Struthio camelus: one gene and its partners. The protein of the gene in region 3 interacts with the protein of the main gene of each other region in a pairwise test. Links are inferred from orthologs where the notes say so. Each region holds a gene or a part of one and is shown on either strand. Other genes may lie near its edges.

Region 1 (3,745 bases), on a different chromosome or scaffold from region 3:
TACAACTCCTCTGCATCTAGAGGAGCAGGGTAGACCATAGTAGGAAAGGCTTTAAGACATGAGATTAAATTATATCTTAAGGCGGCAAGTTACGTAACCAGAGCACAACCTTGCAGCCTTCGCTCACATGAGTGAATCCACTGACTTAAGATGGAAATGAGACTGCTTCATGGCTTTAGTAGAACTACACAGATAGCAAGGGCTGCAGAATCAAGTATTACAGAAGAGAAATGTGACTACACCTTTCCCTCGCAGTGATGTAACAGGCAGTTAGAGAAGGCTAAGTGACATCAATATTTAAAGCCACGCTACCATAGCGCAAAAAGGCTGCGGGGATAGTTAGCCAGCAATGTCACAAAAGGATCATTTCAAAGATCAATGCTACGGGTTTTGCTACAAACGGTAGAGAGAACCATCAAACCAAAAAGCAGAATAAGGCCCCGGACAGAGCTGAGCAACAAAGACATGAGACAGGAGACTGCTACCAGCAGAAGGAGAGAGAAAGTGAGATTGGCTTGACACGAGCTAGAAAAGAGTTAGGGGGAAGGTAGGAACGAAACGAAAACCAGCTGAGACTACGAAAACAGCAAGTGCGACACAGTCAGCAGCACCCGTGGCCATGAGCACGTCACGCCGTCAGAACCGGCCCTTTTAGAGGGACGAACAGCCTGGCTCCAAGAGACGCGCAAACAGCTTCAAACGCGAACTGGCGGGGGCCCGCGGCTACGGCCGCCTCGGGCCCGGCCCGGGGGGCAGCGGGGCCCCGGGGGGGAGGGGGCGGCCTCACCTGAGGTCCTCGCGGACGGCGGTGCCGCGCGCCCGGTTGTGGCAGCGCACGGAGACAGAATCGCACAGAATCGTTTAGGCTGGATGGGCCCTCTGGAGACCATCTAGTCCAGCCTCCCCGTTCAAGAGGCCGCTCCGCAGGCCGTAGCGGCACCGCTGCGCCGCCTTGTAGGCGCGGAAGCGCTCCGGGAAGTCCTCGTAGCTCCTGAAGCGGGCACCGAGCTCCATGGCCGGGCCGGGCCGGCGGCGGCTCGGTTCGACCCGGTTCGGCCCGGCTCGGCCCCTCAGCCCGCCCGCCGCCATCACCGCCCCCGCGAGAGACCCGCCGAGAGGGGGCGGGCCCTCCGCGCTTATTTAACCCAGAGAGGCCCCGCCCACAGCCCGGATCCGACCAATAATAGGCTCCATGGCTATGATTGGCAGGAGGCTGTCGAACCAGCTCGGCGGTTTCGGCCCCGCCCGAGGATTGACGGGCAGGCGCCGGGGCGGTGCTTCCCGCTTCTCCGCGCGGCTGCCGGATGTCGCTGTTGAGCGGCGGCGGCGGCTGAGGCGATGGCGGCTGCCGGGGGCGCGGCGGGGCCCGGCGGGGGGCTGCTGCCGCCGCCGCCGCCGCCCGGGGACCTGCGCAGCGTGCTGCTCACCAGCGTGCTGAGCCTGGAGCGGCTGGAGCTCGACCTGTTCAGGTGCGCGGGGCCGCGCCGCGCCGGGCCGCCGCCCGCGGCCGCGCCGCCCTCACCGCCGCCCTCTCGCCCGCAGGGGCCGGCACCACTGGGTGCCCGCCACGCAGCGCCTCTTCGGCGGGCAGATCGTGGGCCAGGCCCTGGTGGCGGCCGCCCACGCCGTCGGCCGCGACCTCCAGGTCCACTCGCTGCACTGCTACTTCGTGCGGGCAGGTGGGCCGGGCCGGGCCGGGCCGGGGGCGGCGGTGGGGGGAGCTGCGGGGCCGGGCCGGGGCCGGGGCTGGGGGGAGCGCCTGCGGCTGGTGGGGGACCAGAGCGGGGCTGGTGCAGGGGATGGCTGAGGGCTGGGGGGGGCAGGCGAGTCCGGGGGACGGGGCGGGGGACAGGGGGGCAGGCGAGTCCGGGGGCTGGGGCGGGGGACAGGGGGGCAGGCGAGTCCGGGAGCTGGGGCGGGGGACAGGGGGGCAGGCGAGTCCGGGGGCTGGGGCGGGGGACAGGGGGGCAGGCGAGTCCGGGGGACGGGGCGGGGGACAGGGGGGCAGGCGAGTCCGGGAGCTGGGGCGGGGGACAGGGGGGCAGGCGAGTCCGGGGGCTGGGGCGGGGGACAGGGGGGCAGGCGAGTCCGGGGGCTGGGGCGGGGGACAGTGGGGCGGGGGACAGGGGGGCAGGCGAGTCCGGGAGCTGGGGCGGGGGACAGGGGGGCAGGCGAGTCCGGGGGCTGGGGCAGGGGATGTGGGGCAGGCGAGTCCGGGGGACGGGGCGGGGGACAGGGGGGCAGGCGAGTCTGGGGGCTGGGGCGGGGGACAGGGGGGCAGGCGAGTCCGGGAGCTGGGGCGGGGGACAGGGGGGCAGGCGAGTCTGGGGGCTGGGGCGGGGGACAGGGGGGCAGGCGAGTCTGGGGGCTGGGGCGGGGGACAGGGGGGCAGGCGAGTCCGGGGGCTGGGGCGGGGGACAGGGGGCAGGCGAGTCCGGGGGACGGGGCGGGGGATGTGGGGCAGGCGAGTCCGGGGGCTGGGGCGGGGGACAGTGGGGTGGGGGACAGGGGGGCAAGCGAGTCCGGGAGCTGGGGCAGGGGATGTGGGGCAGGTGAGTCTGGGGGCTGGGGGGGGGGAGGACAGGTGAGTCTGGAGGCTGGGGCGGGGGCTGGGGGAGAGGCTGGGTAGGGATGGGGGGATTGGGGCTAGGCGGGTGAATCTGGTTACTGAGGAGTTGGGGATCCAGGGCTGACGCTCACAGGAACGAGTAGGTGCCACCATTCTGGCTCCATCACAGAGGATGTGGGCAGCACTCCCAGCTCTGGGCGCAAACAGTTCAGCCTGCTGGGCCCTAGTGCTTGATCTGTGCAGACCAGGTCTTCTCTGTGGCATGTGGCTGCCCAACGGCAGAATAGCTCTTTTCTGTTCCAGGGGATCCTGAGGTGCCGGTGCTGTACGAGGTAGAGCGGACCCGCACAGGGAAAAGCTTTTCTGTTCGCTCCGTGAAGGCCATTCAGCATGGGAAGCCAATCTTCATCTGCCAGGCCTCCTTCCAGCTGGCCCAGGAGAGCCCTGTGCAGCACCAATTCACCATGCCTACGGTGCCACCCCCTGAGGAGCTGCTGACCCAAGAAGAGCTCATTCAGAAGTTCCTGGAGTGAGTGCAGAGGAAAGGGGCCACTGGGGACTCTTCTCTGCAGCTTGGGATTAGGGAGGTGCAGGGACAAAAGCAGATGGGGAAGGATTTGAGTGGCTATTTGAGGAGTTCTCAAATACTCTTGGGAGGGGAATAGAGAAATAGAACAGGGCAGGAGCTGTGCCGTTTCTGCTTTTCTGTGTGGCCCTGGATCCCTGAGCTGAAACTACTGCCAGCTAGACCCCTCCTAGGTCTTCTGCTGGATGCTTGGCATTAATGTCAGTGCTCTGTGTTGGTCTGAAGGGATCCTAACTTGGCAGAGAAATACAGAAAGCTTCTCAACAAGATTCAAGCCAAGGATGTGCCAATTGATATCAAACCTGTGCACCCGCCAGCTGTATTCTGCTCAGAGCCACAGGAGCCAAAGCACCTCTTCTGGGTGCGAGCACGAGGCTATATTGGTAGGTACTGCCACAGCGGTGGCCCAGCTCCCTCCCAAAGTGAATGCTCGGGCTCAGGCTCAAGCTCACAGTAACGCTGTGGGGCAAACTCATGACAGCGAGCTGAGAGGGTCACAATCCGCGGGCTCTCTGTGCCCCAGACATAGGAGGAAGCCTGGAGCTCTCAAAGCTGAAATACAGCTGTGGGTGCTGGGGCATGAAAAGGTG
Region 2 (3,745 bases), on a different chromosome or scaffold from region 3:
TTGTAGTTACGTGCCTTTTCCCCTCAAAATGGCCCTTTCAAATTAACCAAGAACATCAGAAACACGAACAGCAAAGATTTCTGTTCTGCATTCTCGCCTCTCACAGCTACCGCGACTTGACATTGGCCCTTCATCCGTGACCTTGTCCCTGCGGAGCAGAGCCAGCACCGCGGCAGGACCGGACCCTGCCCGGGAAGCCGCCGCCTCCGCGGTGCCGGGCCGGGGCCGCTGCGGGCAGGTGGGCACCGCTCGGCCGCGAGCCCGCGGGACCCCGGGGCGGCGGCGCTGGGTGCCGGGGGAGCGGCGGGGCGCGCTGCCCGCGGCGGCTCGGCCCTCCGCGCTGGCGCAGCGGCTCCGGGCGCTCAAGCGCTCCCGCTTTAGGCCTCGGCAGCGGAGCCTCTGAACCAGCGACCTGGCGACTGCGGCGGCGGCGGGCACGTCCCTGCCCTGCCCGGTCCGCCAAGCGGGGGGAGCCCCGCACGGCGCGGGCCCCGCCGCCGCCCGGCGCGCAGCGTGCGCGGGACCGGAGCCGGGACCGGAGCCGGGGCCTGCGCGGCGGGGCCGGGCGAGGGGCGGGCGCCGTGCAGGCCTTCCTGCCCGCCCGCCGGCCGCGCCGCAACTCCGCCGCGCCTCCTTAAATCTCTGCCGTTAAAATGTGGGCGGGTGTTTCAACTCAAAAAGCGCTCAAATTTTTTTTCTTTTCAAAAAAAGCTGATGAGGTTAAAAAAAAAAGGGGGAAAGAAAAAAAAAAAAAAGAAACCGGCTTCGTGTCCGTAGGAAACAGAAGTAGAGATTGTTTGTGCTTAAAAAAGGGGGAGCGTAAAGTCGCGGGCGGAGGCAGCGATTGCAGACCGGCAAGTGCAGCTTTATTTTGCAAAGTTGAAAGAAAAGGAAAGCCGCTGCTGTCACTGCGCGCCGGAGGCTGCGAGCCGAGGGGCCGGCGGCGGCACAGCTGGTTGGCGGCAGCCGGGGTGCCGCGCTGCCCGGGCCGCCCGCGCCCGCGCGGCTGCTGCGCGGGCTGCGGCTGCCCCGGCGCAGCCTTTGCCCTCCGGGCGCTCCCGGGAGCCGGTCCGCCTCCTCCTCCTCCTCGCCCGCTGCTCGCACACACCGCTCCCCTTCCTCGGCGCGGCCAGCGCGCTCGGGACGGCGGCAGCGAGAGAGGCACCACCACACCGGGGAGCGCCGAGCCGCCCAGCGGAGCGCCGAGCGCCGGCCGCGGGGCCCGGCCGCGCCGCGGAGACGGCTGCGCGCCGGCGGCGCCGCGGCGGCTCCGCGCCCTGAGCGCGGGCGGCGGCATGCGGCTGCCTCTGCGCCGCCGCCGCCGCCAGGCCGCCGCCGCCGCCCGCGGCCCCGCCGGCCTCCTGGATGCGCCGGAGCCGCCGCCGCCGCCGCCCGCCACCGCGCCCGCCCGCTGCGCCCGGGCTCCGCCAGGACGCGGGATCGACGCTGCTGCGCGAAGCCAGGAGCGCCGGGGCCGCCGCGCCGAGGGAGCGAGCGCTGCGGCCGGCCCCGCCGCCGCCCGCCGGCCCCGCCGCCGCCCCGCGCGGCTCGCCCTGGAGGCGGCCGTGCCGGCTGCCAGGGGGCATCCCCCCGGGCATGGACGCGCGCCGCTAGAGAAGACTTTTCTTCGGAGCTGTTGCTGCTAAGTCTCGCATCCCGACTGTGAACAGGGTGGGTTGTTTTCTTCTTCAAAGATTTCAGGGCTGACTCAGGCTCCAGGGTACGTGTATATATGTTACATATAACATATATCATATATTTCATAGCTTTTAATATATTTCCCTTTAAACTGGCCAAAGTCTTTAATAGGAGTTACTCTATATGTGGAAGCGAAGAAATCTTCTTTCAAGTGGAGCTGCAGTTTTGCTGAATAATCACGTGTGAGTTAGGGGCGGGCTCTTGGCAAGGAGTTTTTTTACGAGTATTTACTACAAGGTCTACTCCAGAAGATTAACCATCCCAATCCTTCTGTCAGTCTCCGATGCCATGCCTGGTTAAAAAAAAATCTCATCTTTTTCCGATCGTCAGTCACCCTAAAGAATGGCCGAGCCTTCTGGGAACGAGCTGGCGTCCGCGGCTGCCAAGGGGGACCTAGTGCAACTTACTAATTTGTTGCAAAAGAATGTAAACGTCAATGCACAAAATGGATTTGGGAGGACTGCGCTGCAGGTTGGTATCCAGAGAGGGAGAAAATATTTCATCACTGCTACCTACGTGACCCGGGTTTCCAAAAAGACAACGTTTTAAACAGGCTGGTGGACGAAATTCGAGTGTTTTTTAAAGTAGTTGGATGCCATATTTTATAACTTTAGTGGCTCCAACTCCCTAAAATGACGTACTTGAAATAAAACTGGTCAAAACCATTATTTCAGTCGGGGATCACCCTCAATGTCAAACGGGCTACAAGTTTAATAATATTTTGTAACTTAGTGGGGAGGAGGCAAAGAATGGAAGAGAGGAGATGAAAAGAAATCATCTTAGGTGAGCAGGATTTCAGAGCAGGTCTGTAAACACATCTGTGTTACTATTTGAAGCTTAGAGTTATTTTTTGTTCCCCCTATAGTATGCTGTTAAAACATTGCTTTTCTCGATTATTAGTTCTGCGGTAGATGGTACTTTTCCTTTATACGCTGTTTGTGACGAATGACCTTTCTCATTTCGAAGCTGCTACACAGAATCGAGTACCTTAGATGTACATTCATAGCTAGCCGAATGAGTTACAGCTCAGTCTGAATCACTTGCCTTTTCATTCATAATTAAGGCTTAAATATTTGAATTTTTAGATCGGATGGCAAGGCATTGCTTCCAGCTATTTCATTTCTGATCGTATAGGGTCCTCTGTCCTAATTTTTAAGTGGGTAGCTGTGCAGACAGGATTTGGAACTCATCCAGCTGCTAACTATTGGAGCTGATGAAAGATTTCTCTTTTCATAATATCAGATAATGATGGCGAAAATGGTAGAATGCATACAAAATAGTGAAATAAGTGATTTATAAATCAGGAGGAAATGTGTGGTTATTTATATACTTAAGGGAATGTAAAGAAATGTGGAAGTAGAGCTGTGGGACTTTTTAATTTCACACATTAGAAAAATCGTTTCTATTAACTCCTCTCTCCCCCTCCCCCGAAACCACGATATTCATTTCTGAAATTTTGTTTTCAAAAAGCATGTAGCTTGCGAATGCGCTCGAGATATTTACAGGTTTTTGGCTTACCATCAAAATGTTAGACCTCGAAAATAAGCACCTCTTGTTGTAAAGCAGTACTGACCCTTGTTTGACAATTTCACCTAAACTCGAGAGCTGTAAGATTATCTTTGCACTGTTATCACCTAAATAGGACATCGTATGACAGTGCAGACACTCGCAGCAACTTTTAGGAGCAGGGAAGGATTTAAATTAGAAACTTGTACAAACTAACTTTTTTTAAAAAGCAGGAAACATTTAGCTAGATGCTTTATCCTCCAGACGGGGGCTGAAAACCGAATGGTACTACAGTAATGTATTTTGCTAAAAGAAACTAAACGTCCGTGCCCTAAATTAAGGAATATTTTACACAAGGACAGAGCATTCAGCTATATTAAACACGCATCTGTGTACTAACAATACTTTTTATTGCAGCCTAATCATAACTGAGTTAAGGAACCGCAAACAAAAATCAAAACAGAAGAATCTGTCTACTTATTTTCACTATGTATCATCCTGAAATGTGTTGTGGGTGGGTGACCACGCTCGAAAGGGTTCT
Region 3 (3,745 bases):
GCTCTGTCTCCTTAAATGAAGGGTTAGCTAGATTTTTGTTTTGCTTCCATTTCAAACCCTTGGCTGAGTAGATGCGGGCAAATAGGTAATATAAGGAGCCTTACGTTTCTCTTACAGGATTGGTGGAAGAGTGTCAATTTTTGACATAGCTCATATTTCTTTGACAAACAAAACAAGATCTCAAAAGGACAGTTCTCCAGCAACTGTGTGTGTGTGTGTGTAGATTATGAAATAATTAAACAGTGCCACTTCACAAGTACATTGCTTATTTACAGAAATAGGGAACACTGAACAGACCTCCACTTCACTGCAGAGTGCTGATAATACCTTTAGTTCACGCAACCACTTTTATGTGTTTCCTCTCTACACAAGACATGATGACACTGATAAATAATTGTGGTGGAGATAATAACATGATTCTTAAATAGAGAGAGTGAGAACCAAGATAAAACGAAGTTTAATATTTAATCTCTGGAGGCTACCGCGTCACTGAGCTTAACTTTCCCACAAACACACCTGCTGTTAAGCGGTGGGTTTGCCTTCAATGACATTTGTTTCGACCGCAGTCCCCTAAAGATCATTGAGCCCAGAGTTCTAAAATACTCAAGTGCTCTTAACGGGTGAGAAAAAAAAGTCCTCTTAAGCGAGTATTAGTAAGTAGAGCGTGAAGGGAAATCATTGGTTAAAGCAGAGAGAGTTAAAGACTTGAAATTATTGTGTACTATAGCAATTTCACACAGCAAGGCTCTAGCTAGTTTTGACAGATACGTAAGGTATGTGGGTGTGTTGTGGGTCTGTTTAGCAGCTATGCAAGCATGTGTCTGTCTCCAAAGAAAGAAGATTATTAGGCACTTTACTCCAGTTTTGTCACCGTAACATCTAAAATAGATTTTTAATTTAATATATAGATATATGTCTGTATTTGTGATACGCTGTGTTATCTAGGGATGGAAAAGTGAGATTCTTTTCTCTCCTCGCTTACGTGATGGAGATGGGAGGCTAATGAATACCCAACAGTCACTCTTCTTATTGTCCACTGGACCGACCTGATATATGTGTTAGCATAAGTAAGTTTTACGTGTGAAAGTTGCATAGTCGTACACTGATGTGTGGGCTTGACTTTGTGAGGAGCTGAGGCATCTGATTGCTCTCTGCAGCCAGCTTTGCACGAATTCTAGGCTTTTTTGTTAATACTGTCCATCCATCCTCACCCTTTGCTGGATTTGCTTGTTTTCCAGAAGGAGAAAATATGAAAACTTATCTGAAGGATCTGAGAGGCACACGTAAAATTGCCCATCCTTGTGAGTAACTGGGGCTAGAGTAGTGGCTGAGATGTGTTTAATGTGACAGCGCAGGGTCTGTCTTCCGAAACTGACTTAAAATCTACTGGATGGAAGGTGATCAGTTTTGTTATTGCCATTTTGATAAAAGGTTAGAAAGCAACGTGAAACTGTCGTTCTCAGATTTTGCCACCAAATACAGCCTGAAGTTGAAATGCAGTTTGCCCTTCAAAAGGCATTCAGCTGACGGACTTTGGAAAGGCGGGTAGTGTTGAAGGCAGTGCCAGCATCAGAGCTCCTTTCATGTGCTGCCATTCCATAGCGGTCTGTAAATGTCTTCAAGTAAAACATACATACAAGTAAGAGCAAGGTGACAAGTTGTGTTCTTCTGATCGTGTAACACCATGATGATTCAACTTCTACAATATTTACTTTCCCTCTGTTATTTGTTTTTCACATGCCATCCCACTGTTGTCACTGTTTGACTGACTATCCTGTTGGCTGTTCTCAGTGAGATATGTTCGATACCTTGAATATATTGGCTGTCAGTAAAACATTACTTTAAAATAGCGAAACTCATGCTAAGTCAAAAGTCTTTCTAAACCTTTCATTAAAAACAGCTGCTGTCTCTCATTCTTGTCTGTCACATTTCCTGAAAAGCCTCTTTTGACAACTGCCCAGTAGTCTTTACTAAGATGTTTTCTGTGTATGGGGGATCCTGCAACCAGAAGCTAGCCCTGTGGGAAGTGGGCAGGTCAAACTGCAGTACCAGCAATCGTGTATTTTCTGAGACCCTCAGTGATGGTACTCAACCAGTAGCAGTGGGTGTGGGGGGGTTCTGTATTTTTTTTTCTGTTTTTTTTTCTTTCATAATTTGCATAGTTTCTGCTTCACTATAATGGGAACTAAATCAATCGATTCTGAGGAAATATCTTTACTTTCAGAGGCTATTCAAGAGAACATACTACTGACAGTACCTGTACTTTGAGAGGACAACCATTCCTAAAAGTGTATTGTAATTAAAAAATATCAACTGTTCCCTTGAAATAATGATTTTTTTTCTTCTGTTGTATAAAATCCTCTTTTATCAGACATAATTTCTTTTAGCTATTAGAGAATTTAAGTTCCAGGGGAGATGGGAGGGAGGGCAGAATCCTCTGCTGATTATTTACATGGCATTGATACCTGGACACTTCATTTTAAATCTGCTGTCCCCTCCTTACCCCTCACCTTTGGTTGCGTGTATACACATTGAAAGAAGAGTTGATTGTCTGACAAGGTAGACCAAATGAAATAAAGGTAATAATCAATAAAAGCATCTGGATTTTCTAATTCTTATGTAGCAGCTAACCATGTAGCTTGCCTTCTGCTGCTTTTTAGTCTCTACTACTAGCATTGAAAGTGTTTCATTTTTTTTTTAAAGGTGGCCCTGAACCCTACATTGAAATATTTGAACAACCCAGGCAAAGGGGAATGCGTTTCAGATACAAATGTGAGGGAAGATCAGCAGGCAGCATTCCAGGAGAACACAGTACAGAAAACAATAAGACGTTCCCTTCCATACAGGTAATACTACTTTTATCCAGGATTATCATTGCCCACATTAGCATTGTACTGTAGCTATGCGTTTGATTTGATGCAGTAAATAAAGAGGATGTTCCTCATTTCATGCTGTGCCAGTCTTTCCTGGGCATCCAAATGTAGTTGAAACAGATTGGAAAAGGAGTTCTTTGCTGCTGGTCATTAAAGATTTTGCTCCACATTTAGCAGAACAGAAGATGATGTACAGGTAGGTAACAAAGCACCAGTACAGAGGGAACTCAAAGTAATGTTACTCAGTGTTGGAGAATCATTTGTTTTTAGCTTTTTCTGTATGTTCGCATGTTCTGCTTTCTTAGTTTTGTGCCTTGGGTTTAATTTAACTGTTTTGGACTGTAATGTGAATTTTGGGAGGGCTCTGAAGGAGGCTGTCCGTGTACAGATTTTGAAAAGGCCAGTCTCACTGCTGGTGCAGCATGAAAGAAAGTACTCTGTAGAAAGGAGTAAAGTAAGAAAGTGACTTGCAGCCAGTGATTCAGTGATTAGTTTCTGCAACAGAAACTACCGTGAAGTATATGAAGTCAGAAGGGGATACAGAATTTAAAAAGGAGCTGAGAAAGGGGAATTATGTGGTCAGAGCACCTGCGGGTGAAGAAGAGCTGGGTGGTTGCATTAAGGATAGGTTGGGAAATCCAGAATGAAGGGATTCAGGCTAGTCCTGGCAGCTATGATCAAAGCAGAGACAAAGGTATGGACAGCGGAGGTGGATGGAAGTGTTTTGGAGATGTTGTGAAAGTTAACTGCCAATCTTGCTGTTGTTTCCTTTACATGTGGGACAAAGGAATGTGTCTGGGAAGTCCTAGATGGGTAGGGTAATACAGAAGAGTTTTTCTGGTTTGCTATTTGAAGTTTTAAGTTGATAGGTT

What was found.
Region 1: the proteins of REL (region 3) and ACOT8 interact in binary tests that used the Homo sapiens proteins (3 or more experiments, as listed by UniProt). The two-hybrid records come from large-scale screens. The link is inferred for Struthio camelus from reciprocal best matches to the Homo sapiens genes REL and ACOT8.
Region 2: the proteins of REL (region 3) and CDKN2C interact in binary tests that used the Homo sapiens proteins (3 or more experiments, as listed by UniProt). The two-hybrid records come from large-scale screens. The link is inferred for Struthio camelus from reciprocal best matches to the Homo sapiens genes REL and CDKN2C.

The regions. Positions count from the first base shown.
Region 1 is NC_090959.1:19,316,710-19,320,454, reverse strand, and holds the start of ACOT8 (acyl-coenzyme A thioesterase 8), read left to right. Parts: upstream 1-1,288; 5' UTR 1,289-1,338; coding exon 1,339-1,469; intron 1,470-1,542; coding exon 1,543-1,679; intron 1,680-2,872; coding exon 2,873-3,098; intron 3,099-3,380; coding exon 3,381-3,538; intron 3,539-3,745. UniProt on the Homo sapiens protein: Catalyzes the hydrolysis of acyl-CoAs into free fatty acids and coenzyme A (CoASH), regulating their respective intracellular levels. Displays no strong substrate specificity with respect to the carboxylic acid moiety of Acyl-CoAs.
Region 2 is NC_090949.1:30,979,141-30,982,885, forward strand, and holds the start of CDKN2C (cyclin-dependent kinase 4 inhibitor C), read left to right. Parts: upstream 1-1,525; 5' UTR 1,526-1,671; intron 1,672-2,028; 5' UTR 2,029-2,040; coding exon 2,041-2,169; intron 2,170-3,745. UniProt on the Homo sapiens protein: Interacts strongly with CDK6, weakly with CDK4. Inhibits cell growth and proliferation with a correlated dependence on endogenous retinoblastoma protein RB.
Region 3 is NC_090944.1:131,633,267-131,637,011, reverse strand, and holds the start of REL (proto-oncogene c-Rel), read left to right. Parts: upstream 1-1,234; 5' UTR 1,235-1,249; coding exon 1,250-1,301; intron 1,302-2,703; coding exon 2,704-2,846; intron 2,847-3,745. UniProt on the Homo sapiens protein: Proto-oncogene that may play a role in differentiation and lymphopoiesis.